Arabidopsis thaliana: one gene and its partner. Each later gene encodes a partner of the first gene's protein in a complex. Each region holds a gene or a part of one and is shown on either strand. Other genes may lie near its edges.

Region 1 (6,678 bases):
TTGCTTCAAGATGGTAAGCTTCTCCTTCTTCATCCTCTTGATGTGTTTGATGACAGTTCATGTAGAGGTTTCTAATCTTAAAGATTGTGTGTTTTATGAACATACAGTGGTTTGACATCATCAAATTACTCAGAGCTTTCACATCTGTACGAGAAATACAAAACTCAAGGTGAGTTCTAATTAGTTCTCTCATATTGTGATCTATTCCGGTTTGCAACCAGTGGGTATTTTGGTTACTTACTGAAAATTCCTCGTGTTTTGGTGTTCACTTAATTGTTCTGTAGATCTTTATATTATTGTGGTGTCAATATGATTTGGTTCTATTGTTGCTTCTTCTACAGCGATGTTACTAGCTCGTAGTTCACTTTAATTTATGGAAATAAAATTGTTCTGTAACGTTGAACTGCAAGCAAATTCAGCATCTTTGTTTGATTGATGATAATCTCACTCATCCGTTCTCTGTAGCTAAAAGAATTTTCTCGAAAGTACGGATCTGTTCATTAATCATTTAGGAGGCAATAAGCCAATGAACGTGTATTTCTCATGCATTTGTAGTTAGTAATACTAGCTTGTTGTTTGGATTACAGGATTTGAGATTCTAGCTTTTCCCTGCAATCAGTTTGGTTTCCAAGAGCCCGGGTCAAACTCCGAGATCAAACAATTCGCTTGCACCCGGTTTAAAGCAGAGTTCCCTATATTTGATAAGGTATAAAGAATCCAAAACATTCATTCTTCTTATTTTCAGGTTGCAGATTCTAAATAAGTTTGAATTCGACAGGTTGACGTGAATGGACCAAGCACAGCGCCGATCTACGAGTTCTTGAAATCAAACGCAGGAGGATTCTTGGGTGGTCTCATTAAATGGAACTTTGAGAAGTTCTTGATTGATAAAAAGGGAAAGGTCGTTGAGAGGTACCCTCCCACCACATCCCCTTTCCAAATCGAGGTATGGCTAATGGACTACTTCCTATTTGGTTCATAGCGGTTCTATTCCCGGTTTGTAACCAAACCGTTTTGTTTCTGTTTTGCAGAAAGACATCCAGAAGTTGCTTGCCGCTTAAAAACTTTTGCTCATGAGTGAGCATATAGAGACTGATGGTTAAAGTAACCGTAAATTGTGACATAAAGTTTCCGGTTATTGCTTGTATACCTTCTTACATTCTAAGTTGTACTAATCGCTTAATAATTTGCGTATAATGGTAATGTTATATACATTATATTATAAAAATGGTGTTATATATACAATAAGACAATCTCGCTCGCGCACATCCAATCAACAACGATGGAGATGATATTACAAAAAAAAGCATTGAACCCTTCACCTCTTACATTTCAAAGTGTTTATTAAACTAGATTAGTTACAGTTCCTTATGTAAAAATTCAAATATTTATAGTTTAGTGGGTGCACCAACGTGAGTCCGCCCTACTTAATCTTATATACATTATTTTATTGAATTTGAAAAGTAATCCGCAATATAACCCTTGAACGTGTATAGATTTTGTAAACCGTATAAGTTTGTATATAGATTAACAAAACTACTTCGCTTTGAACACTTGAAAAAAAAAAAAAATGAGAAGTAGACTCGAACTAATGACCTATAGAACGTTCATAACATATATAACCAATTTTGCTTCAATAGTTTTTGACAATTGTACAAACCCTCCAAGTAATTTTTATTGTTAATCATAAAAAAAATGTTCTTATACATTTGCAATTTCACAATAAGACAGTCTCGCCTCGCACATCCAATTCCAAAAAGTGAATTATTACAGCTCATGAAACATTATTTATTTTGTTATCATTTGTGTCAACATTATCATTAGTGGTAACATCGTCTTCATCATCATCACCTTGCCATGACCATACAATGTCTTTAAGAGCTGGTCTGACGTCATCCTCACAGAAGAGGTAATACTCCAACGTATCCCCCGAGGTTTTGCAGAACTCCACGACAGAGACTTCAGGAGCGACTTCGAATACTTCCGCCGTCACCGAGAGCCTTCCTTTACGACCTTCTGTTCTTCTTTGCAGCTTCATCTTGCAGTCTTTTACATGTTTCACTCTCATATCCATCTCACGCGCCGCCGTCTCCAGCCTCTCTTTAACAGATTTCGCCGGGAACTTCGATGTGAACATCCGCTTTGGCTTTCGTTTTATCTCGAATAGGTTAGAGAGATCGAAACCTGAAGACATTGATGTGATGAATTGGAAGGCGTTGAAGGATCTTGGTGAAGCTCCGTCGTCTTCTTTCTCGTTTAGGTCTTTCTTCTTTTTCTTTGTTGGTGGCTCCGGTGGAGATGGGATCGTTTCGTCTATCGAAAAGGCTACTGATGGTGTAAAGTTCTTTCGGAACCATGGAATCATTTTGATCTCTGACATTGAAATTCTTTGTTCAGGATCCGGCACAAGCAATCTTGAGAGTAGTTCCTTGGATTCTAAGGAAAACCACGGTGGGAACTCGCATTCCGCCTTGAAGATCTTCCTGTTTATTTCGAAAGGTTCAATCAAACAAGAAACAACAATGAGAATTTGATCAATTCACATTCACATTCAACAATACTAATATTTGAATTTGTAAGAAGAGCACTATTTGAGACCGTTATTATTGGCGGGAGTTTTATAAATTATCTAGTAAAATACGGGACGTGAAATTTTGATAATATAGAACTATAATGAAATATACGATCGACCAACATTTATCGAATTTGATATCAGATTAATGTACCTAAAATACCACCCGAATATTCACAAATTGATAATAGTTTCAATATCTTGGAAAATATTGTATAATTTTGAGTAATTATTAAAATTTGAATTACGTGAACAAATAATTCAAATACTATATATCTTTTCTTTTTGTGTGTGTAAACTTTCAAATAGTATATCTTATATCCAAGTTTTGTATCTATTGGTACAAGTTAAACTGTCTCTTTCAAATAATATTTTATTTAACCAAAAATGATTATTATTTCTTTTTAACATATATAAGTATGTGATGTAAAATTGAGATGCATCTAGAAACCCAACTCAAAATGGACTACTTTGGCTTTTAGTTCAATATTTTTTTGTATCTCACTATTCGTCAAATAAATAACAAAAACAAATACGGTTTGGGCCAAAACCTGGTCAAGAAATACTTACGTGTACAATGTCATGACGTTTTCGTCGATAAACGGCAAGAAGCCAGCAAGGAGTGCATACAAAACAATCCCGCACGACCAAATATCAGCCATAGCTCCGTCGTATCCTTTATTCCGTAAAACCTCCGGCGCCACGTAAGCCGGTGTCCCGCACCGCGTATGTAAAAGATCATCGCTGCTACCACGCCTGCCACCTAGCCCTTCTGGCATCATCAATGCGGAAAGTCCGAAATCCGTTACCTTAAGATCACCTTCTCCGTCAAGCAACAGATTCTCGGGTTTAATATCGCGGTGGAAAACACCGCGGCTGTGGCAAAAATCCACCGCGGATATCAATTGTTGGAAATACTTTCTGGCTAGATCCTCCGGGAGCTTCCCATCTCTATCGATCATTTCGAAAAGCTCTCCGCCGTTGACGTACTCCATGACGAAGAAAATCTTCTTCTTTGTAGCCATTACTTCGCGGAGCTCGACCACGTTTGGATGACGGAGGAGACGCATGACGGCGATCTCTCGTTCGATTTGCTCCATCATGCCACGACGTTTGAAAACGTGGTCTTTTTTGATGACTTTGATTGCCACGTCATCGCCGGTGGAGATCTCTGTTCCGTGATACACTTTGGCGAAGTTACCGGTTCCGAGAAGTCTTCCGATGTTGTATTTGTCGAACAAGACAGTACTACTACGGTTTGATTCTTCCATTGTCTTTGTCTGACTAGTTACAAGTATATGTGAGACTAATTATGTGGAATTTTGTGATTTGGTTACATATCTATATATATAAGCAGAAATTATTTGTGGAATTTTTTTATTTATAATGTTGTCTACTTTGTTTGATATGTGACGACTAAGTGAACTGTGAAGAAATGTTCTAATCTTATCTAAACAAAGTGATGTGCCTAAGATCTGGCAGCTAGCATAATTAAATACGACCAAAGCCAAAAGAATAACCAAGACGAAATTGATTCGCGAATTGAACTAAATCGGGGTTTGCTATTTATGTTGAGTGCCTAAAAAAGGGTTATAGAACATGATAAAACTAGATATAATTAACAAACTAAAGCATGAAAAATAAATATCTCGAGTTACGATGCAATGATCATAAGAGAATGATTTCAATAAAAGTGTAACAGGTGATTTAAATCCATTTCTATGTAAATAAATCCTTTTTTTAACCAGTTAAACAATGGTCTCGCACATTTCTGACCATGTATTCATGTAAATAAGTTCTTAAAGTTTTCAGAATAGATTTTAAAAATATAAAAGTAACTCTCTTATCCTTATACAAAAATTGTGGACGCCATGAAATTGACGTGGAATCGCCGTTAATGCTACGCATGTTTTGAAGTAGATACGCATTAATTAAAAATAGTAAACTTGTCCCGATAAAATTTCAATGAACTGTCTTTTTTTGGTAAGGCAAGATGTGACCTTTTCTACTTGGCCCTTAAATATTTTTAAAACAATTTCTTGACTTATTTTTCATAGAGGAATTTTTAATTTCTTTCGAAAAGCTTTGACTCTTTTCCTAGTTGGGACGATTGTATCGGAAAGTGGTCATTTCTAATACGTCCGTGAATCTATCGACCAAATCTTCCTTTCTACATCTTTGCTAATTTCTTGGTTTGATGGATTCTTCATATTTTGCTACTCAAAACAACACACTCAATTTTTCCAATTGTTTTCTTACAATTTGATGATTTTTCTACATACATGAAAATCTCATTATAACCGTGTATTTGGGTGGGATACTGTTATTTTCCTCTATCATAATCAAAGGTACATCTTGTAAAGCTAAATCTAAATTTTAACAAAAAAAAAAGAAGCTAAATCTAAATTTGTTCGATTTAAAGATCAGGATTATTAAGATAATATATAACTAATCATTTTAAGGAACATGTATAACAAGTCCAAGAAACTTTGTGATGTGTCATGATTTGGACCCACGATTAATGACAACAATTATGTTTACACAAATGTTAATACTCTAACGAAATACTATAACGAGTTTTACCCAAAAAAAAAAAAAAAAAAAAAAAAAAAAATACTATAACGAGATATGTATTTAAAATTGAAGAGTAAAAGGGTAACATCACAAACATAGTACACTATTTTGTGGCTAATTGGGTGATCACAGACATATATCTACTTATCGCGCTGCATTTCCGATTGTTTGTTATTTTCGGGTGATTAGGTTGTCGAAACTAGCTGCTAAAACAAGCCATGCCGTGAATTTTGCATCACATTGATCAGTCAAATTTCAAGCAGTAGTTGATTGGAATATGCCCTAAAGAGTGAAAAGATTTGCAAATCCACCTAAATAAGCCATCGTTTGTGCTGCACATGGTTTAAATGTTGCATTACTTAATTAGAAAACAATTTGATCAAATGCATAGGAGTTCTACTTCGAACGAATCTAAAGATGTTACCTCATCTACCTTATGTTTTCCTGATGATAGAAGACCCCCTTACCTAAAAATGTTGTTCAAGGGTAAACAATAAATACATATATATACATGAGTGTGTGTGTGTGTACAAGCACGATTCATATTATATGTATGTTGCCAAAACCTTTGCTATTTGATGCACAATATGTGATGATGTAAACTTTATATATAAGTACAGAATGTTTGAATGGAGCTTAGACAATTTCTTGAACCAGAGAAAATAAAATAATAATTGGTGTTGTTGATAAAAACTCAACATGCCAAGAAAAACAGATTGCTGAAGTATGGATCTTCAAATTCTATCATTTACATAAATTAAAATGAGTGATCTTGCAAGGAAAAATGTGAAGAAAAATGGAAAATAAGAGTTCTTTGTAAGAAAGGGGAAGTTTTATTGAAATGAAAATATTGAAGACTTGGTAATAAAGAAGAATGCAAAAACCGTGAAGAATCCTACACAATTTTGTCTACTTCTTTTTTTTTTCTTTACTTCAAAAGTACAAAATTTTCTCTACTTTCTGTAGCTTCTCTTTTTGTTAGAAAGTTGATAAATCTTTGCAAAGGACGACTGTACTGGTCTGAAAGATCCATGTGACAGAACGAACTGTTAGATTAAAAATAATTACGCATTTACGAACTGTGTATTTGTGAAGATATATTTTGAAAGACACTTCGTTAACAATTTTGATTTCCTACATATATCTCCGTGACAATTCCCTAATCAATTAACACATTTCTTCGATCAGAGTTTGTCGTTTGCGTTTAGAATTGCATTTCCATGTTACAATATAATACACATTACTCTCATTTGAACATTCTTTATTAAAATGATGTACAAATGTGTTTGATTTTGCGTTTTATTTTAGAACTATCAATAGATTTGATGAGAAAGGAAAGTTTTTTTTTTTTTTTGAATATATGAAATGAAGCGAACTAATAAAGCTGGAACCAACAACTCTGAAATCATTAAAGTCAGAAACAAAGTTCACCAATATTCCATGTCTTCCAAATTTCCCAATCTCTTCAGAAATATCAGTATTGACTTCAATTAAAGCTACAAATATGTCTTAAAGATGCAATCATCTTAATC
Region 2 (6,273 bases), on another chromosome or scaffold:
TCCTATGAGGAGATTTTAGTTATTTGTGTGAGCATAGTTATGAAAACATGTAGACAATAATTGAAACCCAAATGTAAAAGGTCCAAATTTAAAGTTTTTGTGGTTTAAAGCATAAAATTGATTTTCAAACAATATTCATGTAAAAAATAATGTATAAAAAATAAAAACTAAATCATATTAATGAAATATTCTTATTGAAAGAGAAAAAAGCTGAAGAGAGTGCGTGAAGTATGGTTGTTGGGTTGAGTTGGCTTTTAGAAGCATTATTTGATCTTGAAGTTGAGTTTGTGTCTAGTATGGCTGAAGATAAGATGAAGAGTAAAAACTGTTTTTTCAAAATGAAAAGTGTTTGGTAGTATATATTTCTTGGAGAAAGAGATAGTCTACATAGAGCGTGAAGAACTTTTAGAAGAAGTTTCTTATTTCAGTCTTGTAAAGAAAAACAAGAAGAATGGTCTTCCATCTCGTTTATATGATTTATTTTTTATACGCTAAAAATATGATTGATCATGTGTTTTATTCAATTTTAAAAGCACATTAACATTAATCAATCATTAATAGATCTAATGTGCTTGATGTTTTAGTTGGTCTTATAAATTAATTTCACCGATAAATGAATTTTTTTTTCTCCGGCGAGATAAAACATTACATGGTGAGGCTTCAAGCTAAAGTTGGCTTCATTACATCTAACAATTTCGACATTTTTATGTACGAAACTTGTAGTTATATCAAGCTTAGTTTCTTTGAATTTTAACTATCGTTTCCAAGGCAAATCTCTCATATTTTTTAACCATAGAAAAATAATCTTTTATACTCTTTTTATTCTTTCAAACCAATTAATCTTTTTTCTATGAGGAGATTTTAGTTATTTGTGTGAATATAGTTATGAAAACATGTAGACAATAATTGAAACCTAAATGTGAAAGGTCCAAACTTAAACTTTTTTGTGGTTTAAAGCATAAAATTAATTTTCAAAAATATATATGTCAAAATGATGTATATAAAATAAAAACTAAATCATATTAATGAAATATTCCTTTGAAAGATAAAAAAGCTGAAGAGACGGCATGAAGTATGGCTATTGAGTTGAGTTGGCTTTAGAAGCACTGTTTGATCTTGAAGTTGAGTTTGCGTCTAGTATGGCCGAAGATAAGATGAAGAGTAAAAGTTGCTTTTTCTAAATGAAAAGCGCTCCTTGGAGAAAGAGATAGTCTACATGGAGCGTGAAGAACTTTTAGAAGAGGTTTCTTATTTCAGTCTTGTGTAGCAAAACAAGAAGAATGGTCTTCCTTCTCCTCAAGAAAGAACATGGAAGTCATTGAAGCATAAATGAGTCATTCTTCCATTGCCTTACTACAAACACAATGTTCCCCTCATCTACAATGGATGGGAAACTTGATTGGCAAGTCACTTCCTTTTGTATTAATGTAGGGTTCTTGGTGAGGGAAAATCGCTAATTCTTCAATTAGGTTTTTTTTCCCTTTTCTCACCTCTTCTTCTTTTTGGAAGAACATTATTCATGTCTCTGCTTCTCAACCATCCCCCGAAGCTCTGCTTTCGTATACCCTTGTTGGTAAGATCATCTCCTCTTCTCTCTAATGGCGTCTCATCGAAGATCCACTTTTTGTCATCATGTAAGTTGATTCTTGTGGAGCTGATCTCGGAAAACTCGTCATTAGGAGGGCTGGTGACATCACTCAGTTTTGACTAGTTTTGCTTACAAGTCACATATGAAATGACTAGTTTTGCTTGCAATCTAGAAATCCATTGAATTAATATTAAAAGCTAACTCTAATAACCAAAACACAGAGATTGAAGCAAATCTTTTTAATTGGATTAATAAATAAACTGAAAAACTTTACATTACCATAACATCAAGATGCAAAAGTTGTATCTACAGATAGACCGAGCGAAATCAAAAAGGACAAAAACCAAACTAAAAAGAAGAATTTTGCTTCACAAAAAAAGCTCAATAAAAAATAAAATGAGTTCAGAGATTTAGAAATGTAACAAATAAAGAACCATAACGAAAGAACAACCTTCAACAATACAATGATGTCTTGCCGCTGCTTGCTTTTGCTTTTGCTTTTTCAGGTATCTTCAACCTGAGAATGGAACACAAAGCTTGGAAACGTAGTCGTGATATCCCTGCAGAGCAAGCACACAACAGGATCACGACCTTTATTACATATCATGGAGAATAGAAGAAAGAGAAACCAGAGAAGGAATTTGGTTGAATAGATTCAATCCTGGTTATATAAATAGAAAGATTTGGAACTCACTTGAGATATTGAAGAGTCATGTTCTTCAGAAGGCTGGGATGTCTAAGAACAAGGCTTCTCCACTCTTCCTTATCGATCTTTCCATCGTGTTTTGTGTCTGCTTCCTCAAACGTCTGAAACATTCAAAACTCGGGAAATTACTTTCAAAGAAAAAATATAGGGTGAAGAGGAAAAAAAGTAAGTAACTTACCTTGTCGATTATATCCTCAATGACAGTATCCTTCAAATTCATTCCAGATTCAGCAAGCGTAGCGACAACCATTTGTTTCACCTGGACAAATGATGGACGAAAATGTCAGTGAGGATAATAAAGCGCACTTCTACAAGGTTATATATGAAGCTATTTGAAGATATGGAAGCTTTACCTCTTGCCGTTCGATAAACCCTTGCTGTTTAAGATCATATAGCTGAAATGAAACTGCAAAAAAATAGTATATATCATTAATGTGTTATCCCAATCTTGTTTTTGAGATACAAGCTAAAAGGGACGTACAGTGAATTTTGTCATCTATAGGCGCATTTGGGTGAAAGACGGAGAGAGCACGAGCAAATTCCTCAAACCCCAGTATTCCATTGTGCTTTGTATCAAACAAATCGAAAACCTAGAAACAAAATCACATATTTCAGCATTTCTTCTAAACTTGATCTTGACAAAAATGGGTTTAAGAACACTTATAATGTGAAGAAAGAAACATTACCCGATCTGCAAACAAACTCTCTTTTTTATTTGTCTTAAACAAAGCCAACTGAAACTCTTCCTGATACAAACAAGAGATGAGTAAATTAGACAGATTGTTAGATCAATCACTAAAGCTTTACCAAATGAGGAAGAAGATCAAACAAGTTAGAGTTATACCTTGTTTATTAGCCCATCATCAATCACGGCACTGCTGATTTTCTTAAAAAGCTCATAAAGAGCTTCTATTTCACTCACACTAACTGCATTCCAAAACCAAATTCAATCATCAATAGTCTTCAGAAGAAATATTTTTGCATTCCTCAAATGGTATTGCATCGAATCTTATAACCGGAAAAAAAAAAAAAAAAAAAGAGTAGAGAAGGTGATAGGGCATACAAACAGTGTCTCTTGCAAGCAATTCAGGATCTCCAAGGCCACCAGATTGTTTATACAAATCAAGATCAAAACACCCTAAAACAGAGGTGCATAAATGCTTGATACCGTCAACGCACTGCGACATGATATATCTTAAGCAGCAAATCAAAACTCTCCATGCCTGCATATAAAACATTGTGAACTTGTTTTGCTAATTTCAAAAAACAGCTCTACAGAAGCAAGCATATGAAGAACACTGTACCTTTCAACCATTTCCTAGTGTTTTTTGCTGAGAAAGGATGAGACTTTGCGAGAGTATCTGTAACACAAGTTGCAAAATTCAGAGTAATCTAAATAAGTCAGTCAATATAGGCAACACAAACATTGCTTAGAAACTGAAGTCATTATCATGATTTTACTATTCAGATGATTCAGTTATGTCCACATAATATATACAATATTGAAGAAGATAAGAAAATTAATGGAGAATCTAAAGACTTAATCAAAGCTCATTAACCAAATTTTAATCTTAAACATCACAATTTATGGACACACAAAATTAATAAAATCCATCAGAAACAAACCCAAATTGGGAAATTTGAATTTATACATTAATGAACTCAAGGATTACACAATCAATTACAGGTTCTGAGAAACAAAACCCGATCTAGATCCCCAAAAATCGTCCTAATGGATTCGTGAATCGCAGATTCAACAGAGATAGAAGAATCTTGATATGTAAGTGAACTCAAAATGAGTAGAATGGATTTGCGTATACGAAAATTTACCGATTACGTTGATTCTCAATCTCAAGTCGGCTCTGGTTGTTGAAGCTGAGCGAGGAAGACGGAGACGATTTGTTGTAAAGCAGAGGAGAGAGTTGGAAAACAAATTAAAACCTGAAGAATCTTTTTAAATATCTCAACAAACAACAAAAACTCAATCTTTTTGCATTATTACAAATTAAATCCTGAAAAATCTGCTCAAATCGTCGTCGTTTTATTCTTCAAAATACGGTTCGATTTGATTTTCGTTCCGGTTAAGTAAAACTCGAGCTGAATTGAACCGGACATAAATTTGAATTTCACATTCACCCATAGAATATATGATCTATTGTGCTATTGGAGAATTTAAGTTTTCAAAAAATCTTCAAATTAGTACATTTTTTACGATGTTAAATGCAAAATAATCATACAAAATCAAAGATAATATGTGATATAGCCATTTTTTTCTATTGTCAAATTTTAAATTTTTGACAAGTAACATATAAAATCGAACCTCCCGAAATGATAAGTTCAATTATATCTTCAGAAATTTTAAAAATAATGTGATCATCAAAACGTTTACAATATATATAAATTTGCAAAAATATATTATATTGCGTATTATTTCTGACTTCGTAAAATTATTTTATATTTTCTTTATATAAAATGTAGACAGAAAAATTCATTTCAAGTATTTTTGAAGCATATAAAATGTGTATGTAATAAATGCTTAAATTTGAATCAAATTGGTGAAAATTAGATAAAAGTTTACCTTGAATCGGGTTAAGCCGATTTCAAGCGGTTTAGTAATACAGACCAATGTCTTTTTCGATAAAAATTATTGAACAATGTCAAAAGAAGAAGTAGAAGAAACAAACAAATAACAAAACCGACAGTTATTATACCGAACAAATCCAGTAACCGGGTTTACTGAGCCTTGAGGGAGTCACTAAACCGGCTCGACTTGGACGACAATAAAACAGCGAGGTTCGACCCAATAGACCCGGCACGTGTCAACGAATCAACGCGGTGATACCTGCACCTGAAAGAACCGGCGTGTGTCGTCGGAGAACATAAACAATTTAGCCTCGTAGATTTACCGGAGGACGATCTCCAACGTTTTAAACTAGGTGAGTTATTGTCTTGGCTCTTCGATTCAACGGTAGAGCTACCGGAGGGTTTAGGGTTGATCTTGGCTAAACTTGTGGAATACTTTTCTTGTGCCTTAGGTTGTCCGAGATTTAGGGTTGAAGGGTTTTCTTTCGTCATGGTTTTGACGAACGTAAATAAGAATGAATTTGTGTTGTTGTTTCTTGCTAATGAATCAAAAGGTAATTTCTATAGTGACTTTTGTTATGAAGGTAAAGAATGATTTGTGTTGTTTCTTGCTAATGAATCCAAAAGGTCATTTATAATAGTGACTTGTGAGAGAAGGCAGCTAAAAATAGTCGTTGGATGTTGTTGACAAACTGCTTTTTTAAGTTATTGGTGGTTAGTATTCTAGAAAAGAGTTATTGTAAATTAGTAGAAAATATTTGACTTGGAGGTTTTATTCTTCTTTTTATGGTTTACACATTTTGTGCAAGGACAAATATTATGACTTTTCAACCAATTAGGAACATACTTAGTTGTGTTAGTGCCAATTGAGAATCTAGAACAGTCTAATTTAAAGATTCTGTAACCAAAAAAAAACATCTGATTGTTTTTGTTTGGTTTGTGCCTATTTTAGGTTTTGACAGACTCAAAGGCTTAAAATTCAAACTCTAAATTAAACACCCTAAGACTTACTTATATAGCTGAAGTCAAAACCATCTCAAAGACTCCAACTATTTAGATGCCATGTCCAAAACTTTTATACTTATGAGATATAGTTAATGCTATAAAAATATTTCTTTTAAGAAAACCGACATCCTAATTGATAGTTAATGAAGTAATGTTTGGGTTTTCAGTTTTAAATTGCAAAAAAAAAAATTGAACATATAAAAAAATATATACATCAAGATATGTAAATGAGACGAGAGAAAAAACAAAATATGTAGTATAAACACTATATTAAGATTCTATAAAGTTGTTGCCATTGTGATTTGCATCATCTACTCACAATGTACATAACGATTACTGGTGAGCTCTTTATGTACAAAAAATTTGACACTCACACAAGTAATCGACTTTG

Evidence for each region.
Region 2: CIPK16 (region 1) and CBL2 share a complex: the UniProt entries of both Arabidopsis thaliana proteins name them as parts of the K(+)-channel calcium-sensing kinase/phosphatase complex.

What each region holds. Positions count from the first base shown.
Region 1 is NC_003071.7:10,668,768-10,675,445, forward strand, and holds CIPK16 (CBL-interacting protein kinase 16), read right to left. Parts: upstream 4,126-6,678; 5' UTR 3,844-4,125; coding exon 3,143-3,843; intron 2,484-3,142; coding exon 1,775-2,483; 3' UTR 1,643-1,774; downstream 1-1,642. Other genes in the region: GPX1 (glutathione peroxidase 1), read left to right, coding at 1-13, 108-169, 588-706, 779-946, 1,032-1,061. UniProt on the Arabidopsis thaliana protein: CIPK serine-threonine protein kinases interact with CBL proteins. Binding of a CBL protein to the regulatory NAF domain of CIPK protein lead to the activation of the kinase in a calcium-dependent manner.
Region 2 is NC_003076.8:22,669,397-22,675,669, reverse strand, and holds CBL2 (calcineurin B-like protein 2), read right to left. Parts: upstream 4,558-6,273; 5' UTR 4,125-4,557; intron 3,656-4,124; 5' UTR 3,599-3,655; intron 3,518-3,598; 5' UTR 3,482-3,517; coding exon 3,358-3,481; intron 3,222-3,357; coding exon 3,139-3,221; intron 3,041-3,138; coding exon 2,981-3,040; intron 2,885-2,980; coding exon 2,776-2,884; intron 2,701-2,775; coding exon 2,648-2,700; intron 2,554-2,647; coding exon 2,473-2,553; intron 2,396-2,472; coding exon 2,283-2,395; intron 2,149-2,282; coding exon 2,091-2,148; 3' UTR 2,040-2,090; exon of another isoform or gene 1,815-2,039; intron 1,757-1,814; 3' UTR 1,570-1,756; downstream 1-1,569. Other genes in the region: AT5G55980 (serine-rich protein-like protein), read right to left, coding at 5,028-5,369. UniProt on the Arabidopsis thaliana protein: Acts as a calcium sensor. CBL proteins interact with CIPK serine-threonine protein kinases. Binding of a CBL protein to the regulatory NAF domain of a CIPK protein lead to the activation of the kinase in a calcium-dependent manner.